Linked DNA regions of Tamandua tetradactyla. The protein of the gene in region 1 interacts with the protein of each later gene in a pairwise test. Links are inferred from orthologs where the notes say so. Each region holds a gene or a part of one and is shown on either strand. Other genes may lie near its edges. The genes, in order: FAM114A1 and RAB2B.

Region 1 (8,612 bases):
CCCAGTAATCCAAGCTTACATTATTAGTAAACTTCTTTAGGGCTCCCACTAGCCTCCCTTGGAACAGAGCCAGGTTTTCCTTTTTCTCCTGAGTAATTTCCCTTAGTTTATTGTAATTAACTGGGTTGGAGGTACATTTTCTTATGCCTTTTAGCAATGAAGTTTTCTGTTTTTTTGTTTTTTGGGGGTGCATGGTCCAGGAATCAAATCTGGGTCTCCACATAAAAGGTGAGCATTCTACCACTGGAATCACCCATGCACCCACGAGCAAATTTTTAAAAGGGGATCATTAAAGAAGATTTTTTCCTCTAATGGAAATTGAGACATGGGGATAACACAAGCAACAAGTTCTTTTCAGCTCCTTGTCTTGATAGAGAGCCAGAGATAGGAAATTTCTGACTACTTTCTCTGTCTTTTATAGACTGAAGGATGCTGTGCTGGTTTGAAAGTGTTGTGACCCCAGAAAGCAATCTAATCAAAAGGTTACAGAAACAATTGGGCATGTTACATCTTCATGTAAACAAACTAAAATTTCCACCCCACAATATTGAATCAGGATTAAAGGACATGGCTTTTCTGGGGTTCAACTCAAAAAGGTTGCTCTCAATTTAAAAGCAATTTCCACTTACCATTCCCTCCCTCCCCTTCATGTTAAAATAATGTTCTCGTATTAGTCTAAATATATGTATATATAATTCATTATTAGCTTAAAATTTTTTTATTTGTAAAAAGAAATTTTAAAAAATACAGTTACTATGGCTAAGGATTTTAAGTGGAATTGGGAAGTTATTATGCAGGTCTCAGCCAGATATCACAAACTACCGCATTATGTAAAGCCTCAGGCAACAGTGTTCCTCAAAACCCTAAAGGCACCTTGACTCTTGAAGATGATTGTATAACTATACAGCTCTTACATTGTGACTGTGTGATTGTGAAAACCTTGTGGCTGATGTACCCTTTAAGGACAGATGAGTAAGAACATAAGGACAAAAAATAAATAAATAATGGGGGGATAAGAGATTTAAAAAAAGTTGGATAGATTGAAATACTAGCGGTTCATGAAAGGGAAGAGTAAGGGGTATTGGATGTATGAGTTTCTTCTGTATTTTTTTTTTTTTGGCACGGGCAGGTACTGGGAATCGAACCCAGGTCTCTGGCATGGCAGCCACTGATTGTATATTTTGGATAGACTGTGCACAAGGATATCTCAATAAAAATATATTTTTTAGAAAAACCCTAAGGGCATCCGGACATCATAAACAAACACAAGATAAAGAACTCAATAAATTATCTAACCTGAAGGACATCTGGAAGACTCTAAATTATCCACCAACCTAACAACTTATTTAATCTTCTTGTTTTTCTTTAAAAGCTCTTGCCTGGAAGTGCCAAAACAGGACATGATTTGGATTTCTACCTTAATCTGTGCTCTTCAAAATGCAATTTTTTTCTTGGTTACTTAGCCATAGGCATATTTAAATAAAATACTAATTGTAAAGCCTGTTTGTACAATGTTTCTAAACAAATTTAAAATTAAAGCAAGGAAGACATCTACAGATAAAGATATCAGAGTTCCTGAAATTCTAAATATTAAACACACTATCTTAAATACCAATTTATTAACTTTCAAACTGTGTACACTCTCATAATATCAAGCAGAAAGTTATTAAAATAGCAACTTTGCTACAGTAGTGACCTATGTAACTAAACATTTTCAAATTTTAGATTTCAGGAATTTATTTTATCTAATATTACTATAGCTGCCTATAGTTTTTTTAAACCATTTTTTGTTATAAAAAGCAAAGAAAGAAAAATACAATAATTTTCAAAGCACACTTCAATAAGCAGCTACAGAACAGGTCCCAGAGTCTGTCATGGGCCACCATGCCCTCAACTCAGATTTTTCCTTCTAGCTGCTCCAAAACACTGGAGGCTTTACTAGAGTCATAATAACAAAATTATACAGTATCTGTCCTTTTGTGTCTGACTTATTTCATTTAGCATTATGTCCTCAAGGTTCATCCACGTTGTCATAGGTTTCGGGACAACATTTTGTCTAAACGCTGCATAATATTCCATTGTATGTGTTTTAGTTTGCTAGTTGCTGGAATGCAATATACCAGAAACAGAACAGCTCTTAAAAGGGGGAATTTATTAAGTTGCAAGTTTACTGTTCTAAGGCCATGCAAGTCTATAAAAATGTCCAAATTAAGAAGCCAACAAGTGGTCATCTTCACTCAAAAAAGGCCAATGTTCAGGGTTTCTCTCTCAACTGGAAAGGCATGTGGCGAACACGGTGCATCGGTTAGCTTTCTCTCCAAGCTTCTAGTTTCATGAAGCTCCCTGGGGGCCATGTCCCTTCTTCATCTCCATAGGTCCCTTGCTGTGTGGGTTATGTGGCTCTTTTTGAAATGGTTCCCATCTAAAGAGCTCCAGTAAGCAACCCCACCTTGAAAGGATGGAGACACACCTCCATGGAAATCATTTAATCTAAAGTTTGCCCACTATTGGGTGGGTCATACCTCCATGAATAATTTAAAACTGCCACCCAGCAATACTGAGTGAGGACTAGAGGACATAGCTTTTCTGGGGTCCACAAATTCATACCGGCACAGTATGCATACACTATATTTGGTTTATCCACTCGTCTGTTGATGGGCACCTGTATGGTTTCCATCTCTTGGCAATTGTGAATAGAGCCACTATGAACATCAGTGTGCAAATCTCTGTTCATGTCACTGTCCTCAAGTCTTCTTGGTATATACCAAGTATTGGTATTGCCAGGTCATAGGGCAACTCAATATTTAGTTTTCTGAGGAAACACCAACTGACTTAAACAGCAGCTGAACTATTATACATTCCCACCAGCAATGCATAAGTATTTCAATTTCTCCACATCCTCTCCAACATTTATAGTTTCCTGTTTGTTCTATAACAGCCATTTTTATAGGTGTGAGGCGGTATCTCATTGCATCTCCCTTGTAGCCAATGAAGATGAGCAGCTCTTCGTATGCTTTTTAGCCATCTGTATTCGCTCTTCAGAAAAGTATCTATTCATATCCTCTGTCCATTTATTTATTGGGTTGTTTGTTCTTCTGTTGTTGAGCTGTATAATGCCTTTATGTACACAGGATATCAAGCCTTTATCTGATTTGTGGTTTCGAAATATTTTCTCCCATTGAGTTGGCTGCCTCTTCACCTTTTTAACAAAATTCTTTGAGGCACAGAAGCTCTTGATCTTAAGGAGTTCCCAACTGCCTATTTTTTCTCTCATTGCTTGTGCTTTAGGCATAGTTTAAGAAGCTACCTACTATTACTAGATCTTGAAGATTTTTCCTTACATTTTCTTCTAGAACTTTAATAATACTGACTCTTACATTCAGTTCTTTAATTCATTTTGAATTAATTTTTGTATAGGGTGTAAGGTAGGGGTCCTCTTTCATTCTTTTGTAAGACCCCAAATAAGCACCTTTGTCACCTGCAGGCTTGTTTATTTCTCTATTGACATATTCTATACCGAAATATAAAGAAGGAACTAGAAATGGCCTGTTGCCTTTCAATAGGGAGATGACTAAATAAATTGTGATACAAAACATATTATGACATACAATGCAAGCATTAGAAGGATATTTTTTATTGATATGTATTATTCAAGAAATATAATACATAATAAATCAGTAAAAACAATTAACAAAATACATCAATATCTTGTCATTTTTATAAACACCAAACAAAACAATTGTATACGTATAAATGTATATCAACTTAGAAAAACTGGTAGGAGCCACACACAATTAAAAATGAAAGTAATATTTACAGGGAAAGAGTAAAGCTATTACCATTAAAAATGCTTTTAAATTATTGCAATTGGCATGTATTACATTCATCTTTTTTTTTTAAAGAGGATGTGGGACAGGAGAAAAACAAATTCACCTTATACACATCACTCAGAAAGAACCACTATTTTTTCGTGTTTGTTTGATGTTTTGTATGCTGTGTGGCAGGGTCACATTTCATTCTTTTCCCATGTGAGTATCCCGTTATTGCAGCACCATTTGTTGAATTTTTTGTTTGTTTTGTTTTATGGGAAGTGCATGGATGGGCAATGCAACCCGGGTCTCCTGCACGGCAGGCGAGAATTCTACCACTGACGTACCCTCGCACCCCCCACCACTGTTTTCTGAAATTATATTTTTACTTACTTTTATATAAATATACACATACATATATATTAACCAAAAAACAGATACAAATTCTACATACACTTTTAGAAAGTGCTTCTTTTTTCCCATGGGCAGGCACAGGGAACCAAACCCAGGTCTCCAGCATGGCAGGTGAGAATTCTGCCACCGAGCCACCATCGCAACGCCCCCTACACTTTTATAATCCCCTCCTCCCCTCCACACATACACACTTAATGTTCGGCTACGGCCTTCCTCCCATATCCACAAATACAGATGTTCAATTATAATTTTTAGTGGCTGCAGCATATTAGACTGTTTTGAGTAGCTATAGTTTAGTTCCCCTTATTATGAGACATTTTGTTTTCCCTGTTAAAGACCACAATAACATAAGTATTCGCACATTTCGTCTGTATACTTAGGACAAATTCCCAGGTGTGGAATTCCTGGGCCAAAGCTAATGCATTTGAATTTTGCTCCACATTTCCAAACTGACCTTCTAGAAAGTTTGTTATTGAGTGTAATCAGATTACACTCCCACCGACGGAGGAAGGGAGAGGAACTGTTTCATGCAGAATCGGAAGATGACAAACTCTCGCTGAATTGGGCAACCCCTTCCCGGTGAGGCTGCCTCCGGGGTTTTCCCCGCGCTTAAAAGGATGGCAAGGGATCGGCGACCCCTGAGGCCCTCCAGGGATAAGGCGAGCGTCCCTCCGGCCCTCCCCGCAGGCGCAGTGCTGGGAACTGCAGTTTCCCAGGGAGGGTCGGGAAGCAGGACCCGAGACCAGACCAGCCTAGAGAGTTAGGATGCCCGAGCGACCCGGCCAGCGCTCCCTGGCTGGGGTGGGGCGCACGTCCAGAATCTGGCCCCCTCCAGCGCCAACCGGGCGCGGGGCGGGGCAGCTCGTCCCGCCCTCCTCTCCCCTCGCGGGCCCGCCCTCCGGCCGCGTCCCCGCCGGCCCTGCAGACGTGGCGGGGCGGGACCCGCCCGGCCCTCCCGCGCGCACTCGGCCGCCTGAGCGGTAAGAGCCCCGGGAAACTCTCTCTCCATCCCCTTCCCCGGGCGGGCGGGTGGAATGAGGGGCAGCCCGCTGCGGGGTGGTGGGGAGACCTGCCGTTGCTTCTGGTCGGTGATCCCCGAACCCAGGCCGCTGCGCTGTTAAAACGCCATCCGCAGGCGCGGGACCACGGGAGGATCGGGCTTGGGAGTGAAGGTCCGGGGAGGCGCGAGCGGCGCGGCCGAGGGCCCTGCGTGGGTGCGGGCGTGTGAGTGTGTGTGTGTGAGTGTGTGTCGCTCCGAGTCCACGCTCATGCACACACCCACACGCCCGCACGCCGGGTCTGCCCCCTCGGCCGGCGGCCGCCAGCATCAGAACCTCTGCGGTGGAGCTTACCTTTGCTTCCAAAAGTATCCAGTCGTGGCACCAAGCAAGTCTGAAAAAGTTTCCCCAGTATCCCAGGTTGAAGGTAGAAGCAGACAGCAGAGTCTCCGTAGCTCGCTCGGAGCACGGAGGTGGCTGGTCCCGGAAAGGCAAAGGCCTCCATCCCGGAGTGTGCCTGGCCTTGGCCGCGGGAAGCGAGGTCGGTCCTTGACCTTCCACCCTAGCTCACCACTCCGCCCCCTGCAGACCCACGCCCCGGCCTGCTCTTGCACCCCAGCTAACACCTTAGGCTGACACCACCTCTATTCACAGTCCTGGGTTTGGGTTCAAGTCCCCACCCCAACCCCAAGCCCCACCTCCACCCAATCATCTCGACTACCCTGGAATCTGGTGAGTATTTCTAGCTGCCCCAGATCCGGGTGCCTGGAGTGTACTGGCTTTTCCTAGAATAAAAAGACATCCCTTTGTATGGGCTATGAGGACATCATCTGTCCCCTATCATCCTGAGGTTCCCATCCTGTACTTCTTGAAGAGAGGCAAGCAGGTGGCTTTTAGACTAAATGTATAATGAACTTCGTAGGAAATCAGTCAACCTAGGTTACAGAGAATGAGACAGGCTTTATGCTCAGCAGCCTCTCTCCCTCTTTTCCCCCAGTGGCCCCATTCCTACCCCATCCACATGCCCATGGTCTCTCCTGTCTTTCTGCCATCAAACTCTGAGAATCTGATAAACTTCTTACTTTGTAAGCTTGATGCAAAAAGAATAAAACTTTAATGGTGGAATTTGAAGCGCAGTGCAGAAGTGATTTGACAGTAATAGGGAGACTTCTAAACCACCAGGATTGAGACCATGTAAGTAGCCATTTATTTATGAGACTGGACCTATGGCAAACATTGTTTCTCTTGAATCAGTATCAAACACAATGTATTTCATTCAGGAAATATTTGAGGGTCAGATTCTAGGCTAGGTGTGGATTGGGTCACAACCCTGGAGGAAAGACAGATGTAAAAACAAGTACTTCTTGTAAATGTAGCAGGAGAAGTCTGTGCAGACAACCCATAGAAGAGGGAGCAATTAATTATTTGGAAGGAGCAGGGCAGATTAAGGGAAATGTCAGAGGAAAAGGTGACGTCAGACTTTTAGAGATGATTAAGAATTTGCCAGGCACTTGGAAGCAGGGTAGCCCAGGCAGAGGAGACTGCCTAAGCAGTGAAAAGGAGGTGTGAAGGCCTACAAGCAGGGTAGAAAATGAAGAAAAGTCTGGTGAGACAAAAGTGTAGGGTGTGTTGCGAGTGGCAGGGGGTAGACAGAGAGGTCAGGGCTGGATTATGAGGGACCACGGAGGCCGTGGGGAGATATTTGGAACTAATGGCTTTTAAACAGGGAAGCAATAGAGCCCACCTATGTTTCAGAAAAAAAGAGGCTGGACTGGAGGAAAAGTCTGAGACCTGGGACTGTGTACTTATTAAGCATCCTAGGAACTCTTACAACCTGAATTTAAAACCTGCCATCTAGAGTTCTTATCCCTGTCCTTCACAGACTAGCCTTCTTTTTAGTTGGGGGAGAGGGTCTTAAATAGGACATTGCATTACCAAATTTTTATTTTGCCAAGTAAGGCCATTAAAAAAAAAAATCCATCCACTGCCATCACCATTTCATAAAAGAAAAGACATTCTCATACCAAGAAAAGCGTGAAGGCCAGACTTTACATGAAGGCAGTCCTTTACATTTAATAAATTTAGACTTATGGAAAATAATGCTATCTTTTGTCTTCATTTTGCTCTCTCACCCTGGACCAGCCCCTTCCTGTGGGCTGGCATTCGGGAACCATGTCTCCAGATCATTTTGTCCAATATCCTTGCTTTACAGAGGAAATAGTGGGAAGCCCAGCTATGAATGAGATCCATGCTCACGAAGGGGTGGAGGGAAGAGAGACCACAGTTCTTGACCCCCAGGGCAGGGTTCTCCCCACCTCAGCATATTGTCCCTCCCGCCCCACAGAATTTCTCTGTGTTCTCTTGGCCCAGCCACACTGATGTCCGTCCTAACTATCTAGAATACATTCCAAACGCTGGGAATTTGCACATGCTCTTCTTCTACCCTACCTGGAAATAACCATATCAAAGCCACATCAAGGTCCTCCCTTGCATAAGGTCTGTCGAATTCAGGCACAATTTTCCCTATTTTGATGTGCTGTTTTGCATCCTTATTTAACTATTATTTAGCTCCTCAAGCAGAGTCATCAATTTTTGAAGCATAGTGACCATGTCTTCTGTTTAAACTTGTTTTGGGAGCTGTGATGCTGCTGCTTCAATACTTCACATAGTTCTGGAAGCAATTTAGGTGATGAATGAATTTACTCATGAAAGCTATTCCTAGCCCCACAAAGGCTTCTTTATGCTCCATCCTTCCTTTCCTTGGAGTTTACTGAAGAAGCCTCCTTGTTTCTGTGGATTGAGTCTCCCTTGCATCAAAGCCATGGGACATGGCTGTAATGATCAGTGTTCTAAACCGAAAATCAGGAGAGGTTTATGAGACGTCAGACTGTGCTTATGGGGCACTTAGGCAGAGATGGGGATGGTCCCAGGAAACACAGAGCGTGACAGGGCTGACGTCCTGGTAGGCTTTTTAGTCCTTGCTCAGAAACAGCTGTGTATTTAGGACACATGTTCTCTAATGGCTTGCGACAAAAGTGCACAGTCTTAAAAATAATTACGTTTCTCTAGTCATAATAATGCCCAGAGTAGATAAGAGACCAACCGGAACAAACAAAAAGATTTTTTTTTCTTTCGGTTTTAATTTAGGAAAAAAGGTAGACCTATTACAGGTAGAAGTACGTATAATACTAGAGATACATATCATTAAAAGTTGAAACAGAGCTGATATTATGGCAAACATTTCCCTTATGTAAACAGATTTACAAATCTAATCTTTCTGAAACTTAAGACTTTTCTGTAAATATTTCTTTAGCCTTCTTACAGCTGATTTTTGGGGCATTTCTGAAGGTTTCTTGTTGCTGGTTGTCTATGGAGCAGCCGCTGAGAAAAG
Region 2 (8,023 bases), on another chromosome or scaffold:
ATAACATGAGAATAGCATGCAGAGCCTGGGAGCAAGCAGTTCTTGATGAGAAAGACTAAAACTCCCCCCAAACTCCACATTTCGCAATACAACTCATAATTTTTGTTACTGCACAGAAGCTCTTAACTTCAGATCCATGAATCTTTCATGAATTTGAGTTTAGGTTCATGTGAGCATTTATCAGGAAAGCAGGTACAAAGATTTTTACCAGATTCTCAAGCAAGTAAACAAATAAAAAGTTATGGGAACAGCAAAAAAAGGATTTGGGGAAACATTTATTGACTAGGCTAATAACTGTGAACAGCAGTTTTGAATTTTTTTAGACTGCTTTGGTGAAGCAAAAGATGCCTATCTTTTTCTGCTTACCATAACAAATAAAAAACCAAATCTGCTGATATATGAAAAGTGATACTATTTGTTAATAAGAGCTCAATAAAGAATTAAAATTCACGTCCAAAACAAGAGATTACTGTGCTACAAGAGACCACCCCTCATAAACCATCTGGTGTGCTCTCGAGGACATTAAAAAATCAGACTTACAGAGATTCTATTGTCTCAGACCAAAAGGGTATTCTCCCTATGCATTACCCCAAGATGTGGAAAGAGGTTTGTTATTCAGTATGTATAGTTTAATGACAATTTTTGTTTTGAAAATTTGGTTTTAAGTATGAATAGCAAAATAACTACAATGATCAAGAATAAAAATAAATCATGCTATAATAAAAGCATGCTATAATAAAAACGGTCAGTCAGTTTCTTTCACCACCACAAATGATTTGTAAGTTTAGGGTAAAATCCAATAATGACAAAACTTATTTTAGTTTTGTGGATCTATTACCACAGATGTGACAACATCACACTCTAGACTGTTAAAAACAAAACAAACCTAAGTTGTAGCAAATATTAAAGTAAAAATGAACGGTGTGGATACAGAAACAGAAAACAAGAATATGATGCAGATACTTGCTCACTCAGTTTCCCTTTCCTTCTCTATTAAAGGCCTTCTCAGGGCCTTTTTGAGAGAGGGAACAAGATGGGAATTACAGTTTATAAGCAAGAATACTTAGATATTGAGAGAACCAGAAAGTTTTAAAGTACCATATCCATTCTTTTACTCATTCTGCAATACCACAATACACGATCCAGTATTTCTTTAAAGAGTTTTCTTGTATAGGTTATTCATTGCAAGGAAATGCATTTTAATCCAACACCTACTTATTGAGTTGTTCACTGATACTACGGTCATTAAAATGACCTTAAGAAATGAAATATTTATAGTAATGAAACTTCTATACCGACGAAATCATGAACATGATCTAGAGCTATAAGTACTTTCCCAATCAAGGATAGGTATCTTGATGTCTTATTTTCCCAAAGTGGTCAAAGCCTGGTATCATTATGTAAGAGCCAACTTGAATGAGAGAAATACAAAGATTAAATTCCCTTCCAATCATAGAGCTTCCCATCACAAGAAATGCTGTTATAAATACTAAGCCTTCATCTCTGGAGACCTACTATTTTGAAATTATTATTCCTTATTTCATTGAGGTACAACATATGTAAAGCACACAAATTTTAAGTGTATAGCCCAAATCATTACCAACTAGATAAAAAATACAGGATATTTTCATCACTGTAATTCCTCATGTCCCTTTCCAGTCAATACTCTGCTTCACAAGAAGTACCACTCTTCTGATTTCTACCACAATGGTTTAGCTGTGCTTATTCTTAAACCTCATTAAAAAATGAACTCATATAGTGTTCATATAGCTTCTGTGTGGTTTCTTTCATGCAACAATATATTTTTTAGATCATCCAAGTTATTGCATTAATTAGCAGTTTGCTCTTTTTTATTGCTGTGCAGTTATTGCTTTTTATAAATGTACTAGTTTATCTATTTTTCTGCTGATAGATATTTGGGTTGTTTCTGGTGTTTAGCTATTATGAATAGAGTTGCTGTGAACATTCCTATACATGTTTTTGGTGAATATATGTGCATATATTCTTTTGCATATAAACCAACGAGTGCTATTCCTGAGTCACAGGGTAGGCATATTTTTATCCTAAAGAGATACTGTCAGTTTTCCAAAGTGGTTAAACCAATCCACACTCTGAACAACTATGACTGAATTATCCATACTCTTGACAACTCTTAGTTTGTCAATCCTTTCATTTTAACTAACTTGGTAGGAATACAAGGGCATGTAACTATGATTTTAATTTGTATTTTCCAGATGAGTGATGATGGCACTTTTTTCATATGCATATGACTATTTGGATATCCTTTTTTGTGAGGTTCCTGTTTTCAAATCTTGCCCATTTTTAATTAGATTATTTATTTTGCTCTGCAGGAGTACCTGATACATTCAGAATATGAGTCAGATAAATGTACTGTAAATATCTCCCAATCTGTATACTGCCAGTTTACTTTCTTAATGATATCTTTTGATGAAAAGATGTTCCCAATTTCAATGAAGTCCAACTTTCCAATGTTTCCTTTTACACTTAATACTTTTTGTGGACAGCTACCCTTTACGTGTACGAAAATTTAAAAATTACTCTACTTCTAAATAATTAAAAAAAATATTACCTTTACCTACAAAAAACACAAGCGAATCAAAATAAAAGTTAAAAACAAAAAAGAGGGGAAGGAAAGAGGTAGAAGTTGTAATGAGAAAAGGGAAAACAGTTAACAATTCTGTATACCATAGGAAGCTACAGAAGTTGACCCTAAAACTTACTTTTAAAAGGAGCTTCTTGGCAAAACAGGTTTTGTTATTAAAAAAACAACAACAACAACAACAAAAAAAACAAACCCACACACAATAAACAGATTCAAACTCGGAGTTTCTTGACATTGTAAAAAGGAGCCACCTCTCATGTAGTTTATAGATTACTTGACTTCATTTAAGAGGCAAAAGATTAAGAATGGTGGGTAAATAGAAAGCATTCATATTTAGTTTTTGAAATGCACTTTTGCATGGACGTGACCAATGTGAAATTTACAAATACTCCAAATAATGAAATTTATACTGTACAGAACTGATTCTGGGAAAAACTGGTACTGAAAGAGACTGCAAAGCACCAAACAGATCCTTAGCTTTATATCACTTCTAAATTTGGTGTATCTTTGATTCATACTTTCCTCTGCTTAGGAGAAGTATAATAAATGACAACAGCAATAAAGAAGTTAAAAAACTAGCAATGGTCCCTTGTCAATCTAATTCTCATCCAGGAGAATTTTAGGATTTATTATAGGATAAGTCCACACAAAAAAGCAACTGAGAATTCTTGGTACCAAAACAAATGCCTTGTACTGCTTTTGAAAAAAAAATTTTAAATCCTCAAAAGACAGTAGATGGCTTTCGACTTCACACTCACAGGGAAGTAGAAATTTATTTTTAACTGTTTCATATTTCTCTTTTGCCTGGCCTAGGCAAGTAATACATATCCATGTTACGACAATATTTAAACCAAAACTTTTCCACAAATACTAAAGGACCTCACCATAACCATTACTTCTACTTCACAACATCATAAGCAACTATTAATACAACCATTTGATAGATGGGAAAACTGTGACATAACAAAGGCGAAGTAATCTGCTCAATCTCTGAGTCACCCACAAGCAGAAACACATGTTCTACTTAACTCCATTCATGTCCTTTGGTACCTCTTTCCTTTCCTCCGGTCATCAGCAAAACATGGTGACGCCATCTACATAAACATAATTACTAATTTTGCTGTTGCTGTTGTTACTGAATAGGAAGTTTAAATGAAAGAAAGGCCCCTTCAACAGAGTTCGTTTCAAGGATGAACATATGTCCACATTTAATCCATTAGGTAAGTTCATATCCTCATTTCAGCTTCTTTAACAAAAACATTTTCTTCCTGCTGTTATCCCTCAAGACGGTTGTAGCTATTTCCTCCCTACGAAAGGAGACTATTCCACTGTCTTCCAACTCAGTATCAATCTCCTCCTCAAACAGATCATCGCTTTCCAACGTCCTATTTTTCTGATGACAGCAGCTTCCGGGACCCTCCCCAGATAGTCCTCAGAGGTTCGAGAAACAGCTACCACTTTTCCCTAAACACCAAACGCGGACCCTGATTCCCAGCCCCGGGTCCCCCGCGTCAGCGCTCTCCCGCCCCCACCCTACCACCACCGCTGCCTCCGGCCCTCCCCTCACCCCCCACCCCCCGCAGCGTCATCAGCTCGTGCTCACCTCGGCCCCTGACAGGAAGGGGTGCGAGGGCCCTGTGATCGTCAGGTAATTGTCATTTCCTCCGGGAAACTGGAAACCAAAAGAAAGCCGCGGGGATAAGTTAGGGGGCGGGTAGGGAGTCAGCTGGGAGCGACGGATTCTGACCCCGACCTTCTGACAACACTCCCCAAACCCTGCTGTCTCTCTCCTCCCGGGTCAGCCGCCTCTCCTCCCGGCTTCCCTCCTCTGCTTTATTCAAACCCGTGGGCCACGTTCTCTCGTCAGCCTTCTCAGCGTTCCAGTTCCTACCTCCATCTTCACACAACCGCTACCACCGTCTCAGTCCCCTCATCGCTCCTACCGCCCCCACCAGACTCGGAACTTCCGTCACTTCCGTAATGAAGAACATCATTCTCCACTGATTGGAAGGTGAACAGCAGGGCCGCAGCGAGTCAGGCCCGCAAGGCCGAGGGTAGGTATCGCCCCCTGGAGCTTGGTAGGATAATAGCACTTAGAGGAGCTAAACGCGTCCCTGGAGGCGGCGCCGGGGTATAACCACCGTCCCAAACCGAGAGAGGATTTCTGGGAAGAGCAATAGAGATGTGATCAAGGCTAGAGGGGCGAGAGTTGGGGGGGGGGGGGGGTGCGGAAAATAAGGAGATCGGTAGATTGAGCCGTTAGAGAGGCCGTAGGTAAGTTGCTATAGAAATCGGGCGGACCCGGAATCCAGAGGAATTGGGACCATGACTTATGCTTATCTCTTCAAGTACATTATCATCGGGGACACAGGTAAACCGCGGGTTGACCGCTTTTGAGGCTGGGGCGTGGTTCCTAAATTCCCAAATCGGGTCGCGAAGGCGGGGCTCATTTAATAGTTCGGGTAACTCCAAGAGCTGGCGGGGGCGGGGCGAAGCGGGCGGGACTCGGGGCTCCCCCTCCCGGGTTCTCAAAGCCCACACAGGGACTGCGTGATTGCGATAACGCGCTTCGTCCTCTTTCAGGTGTGGGCAAATCATGTCTCCTTTTGCAATTTACCGACAAGCGGTTCCAGCCTGTCCACGACCTCACAATCGGTAAGTGCATTTACCTGTCCGAGAACAGCTCAAGTGAAAAGTTAGCAGCCTTCAATGCTCAAAGTAAAAATACTTCCTATTTTATGATAGAACAAAGTTATAGTTAATGAATTAAAACAAGCACTGATAAATGAGGAGTGTAATGGGGTAGAAATAATTGGACGTTAACTTGACCGATGAATGTGAGATACGGGATTGGTTGCCTCAGGATTTTTTTTTAAAACTCAATTTGTATGTTTATGGAAAATCCCACGAAAGCATAACTGCTGATTCAAGAGCTCATCTGCTTGGCGGTACATTATTACTAACCTCACATATGTTTCTCAAAGTAATCACCATTATATGGATTTTTTTGTATGTTGGAGAGGAAGAAGCATAAAAAAGGCAGATTAAACTGATAACTTTCCTTTTAAAGGAAAGAGTATGATAGAATTCCAAAAACAAACTGGTGGAAACCTACGACCTCCAGATGGGTCCCTAGACCAGATGAGTCCTAAAATGTGGAGGGGCCAGCCTCTCCAGAGCATGAACTAGCCCTAACCATATTATTGACAGCCCTTTCCAACATGAAAAAGTTAAAATGGGCATAACCCAAATACCCCTAAAGAGTGGGAGAAAGAACAAAGGTGATGGTGGAGTTATACAAAGAAGGTAGAGTTTAACATATGCCTATGATTGCTGAATCATTATATTGATATTACTTTTAGTCTCCAATGTCTTGGAGCAGCTAGTAGTAAAAACCTAAAATTGTGAAATTGGAACTCATGCCAAACTCTGAAATCTGTTTTACAACTAATTGTTGTGATGTACTTTGAAATTTATTCCTTTTTTGTATATATGTTAGTTTTCACAAAAAAAGAAAAAAATAGTCGATTGTGATGATAAATGCACAGCTTTATGATGATATTGTGAACCATTGATTGTACACTTTGGATGATTACACAGTATGTGAATATATAATATGTACCAATAAAAACAAAACAAAACAAAACCTGGTGATCTTCGAAAGTATAAACATCCCACACTCATTTGTTGCAAGGCATGGCTTAGAGGAGTTTTAGCATCCCACTTCCCGTACTCTCCATAATCCCATCCCTGATTAAAACAAAGCAAAACAAAACACTTAAACTTCTTGCTGTAAAAATGCAGTCTCTACATAAAAGTCCTAGCTTCCCATTTTCACCATATAGCCACTTCTAAATCCTACCAGTATAGAAATCTTTCCCAAAGGATTATTCAAAGCCAAATAACTGAGGGTTAGAAAAGTGTTTACCAGATAGAAGCAACAGGTTTTTTTTTTTTCCTTAATGAATTTTAGCTGAATACTGATGTGTCATATACTAAGGATACATGCTTAGCAAGGTAACATCATGTCTGCCCTTCAGTAGCTTATAGCCTTCCTTGCAAGAATGGAGATGGGAATTGGGGCAGATACTGGTAAGCAAATTCCCCTTACAAAAGGGGAAGCCAAGGTTGCCGCCTCTGTCAACAAATGCTGAAACTTGAAGAATGAGCAGAAGTTAGCCAGGCAGAGGGATTATGGATATAATAATTTTTTTTTTAAGAAAAGTGACTAGGTTAGAGAATGTTCAGAAGTTCAGGGATGGCAGAGATCAGGCTACTTGTGAAAGCTTGAGTACTTCAATATGACTGGAGCATGGAGTTTGAAATGGAGAGTGGTGAGAAATAAAACTAGAAAAAAAAATTAGATCCCAAATTTTCGAACTCTTGAAGCAGTAGAGAACAAGTGACAGGTTTTAAAGTATAGTAGTAAAATGATCAATCACGTTTTCCCAGAGTCCAATAAAGGCTGTGTTTCTTGTTGAGTTCAGTCCTCTCTACCAAGACAAACAAGGCAGTAGAATAGAAAACATATACCACGGACATTTGCACACCAATGTTTATAGCAGCGTTATTTACAATTGCAAAGAGATGGAAACAGCCAAAATGTCCATCAACAGACGAGTGGCTAAACAAACTGTGGTATATACATACGATGGAATATTATGCAGCTTTAAGACAGGATAAACTTATGAAGCATGTAATAACATGGATGGACCTAGAGAACATTATGCTGAGTGAGTCTAGCCAAAAACTAAAGGACAAATACTGTATGGTCCCACTGATGTGAACCGACATTCGAGAATAAACTTGGAATATGTCATTGGTAACAGAGTCCAGCAGGAGTTAGAAACAGGGTAAGATAATGGGTAATTGGAGCTGAAGGGATACAGACTGTGCAACAGGACTAGATACAAAAACTCAAAAATGGACAGCACAATAATACCTAATTGTAAAGTAATCATGTTAAAACACTGAATGAAGCTGCATCTGAGCTATAGGTTTTTTTTTTTGTTGTTGTTGTTTTGTTTTTTGTTTGTTTTTGTCTGTCTGGTTGTTTTTGTTTTTGTTTTTTACTATTATTATTACTTTTATTTTTTTCTCTATATTAACATTCTATATCTTTTTCTGTTGTGTTGCTAGTTCTTCTAAACCGATGCAAATGTACTAAGAAACGATGATCATGCATCTATGTGATGATGTTAAGAATTACTGATTGCATATGTAGAATGGTATGATTTCTAAAAAAAAAAAAAAGAGTCAGGTGCCTAGGATGTAATGGAGAGGCTGGAGGGAAGTGCCTGAAAATGCAGAGCTGTGTTCCAGTAGCCATGTTTCTTGAGGATGATTGTATAATGGTACAGCTGTCACAGTGTTACTGTGTGATTGTGAAAACCTTGTGTC

The links.
Region 2: the proteins of FAM114A1 (region 1) and RAB2B interact in binary tests that used the Homo sapiens proteins (3 or more experiments, as listed by UniProt). The two-hybrid records come from large-scale screens. The link is inferred for Tamandua tetradactyla from reciprocal best matches to the Homo sapiens genes FAM114A1 and RAB2B.

The regions. Positions count from the first base shown.
Region 1 is NC_135345.1:40,517,053-40,525,664, forward strand, and holds the start of FAM114A1 (protein NOXP20), read left to right. Parts: upstream 1-5,121; 5' UTR 5,122-5,203; intron 5,204-5,575; exon of another isoform or gene 5,576-5,839; intron 5,840-8,612. UniProt on the Homo sapiens protein: May play a role in neuronal cell development.
Region 2 is NC_135340.1:34,968,175-34,976,197, forward strand, and holds the start of RAB2B (ras-related protein Rab-2B), read left to right. Parts: upstream 1-4,819; 5' UTR 4,820-4,948; coding exon 4,949-4,994; intron 4,995-5,206; coding exon 5,207-5,278; intron 5,279-8,023. Other genes in the region: TOX4 (TOX high mobility group box family member 4), read right to left, coding at 4,227-4,295, 4,515-4,520. UniProt on the Homo sapiens protein: The small GTPases Rab are key regulators of intracellular membrane trafficking, from the formation of transport vesicles to their fusion with membranes. Rabs cycle between active GTP-bound and inactive GDP-bound states.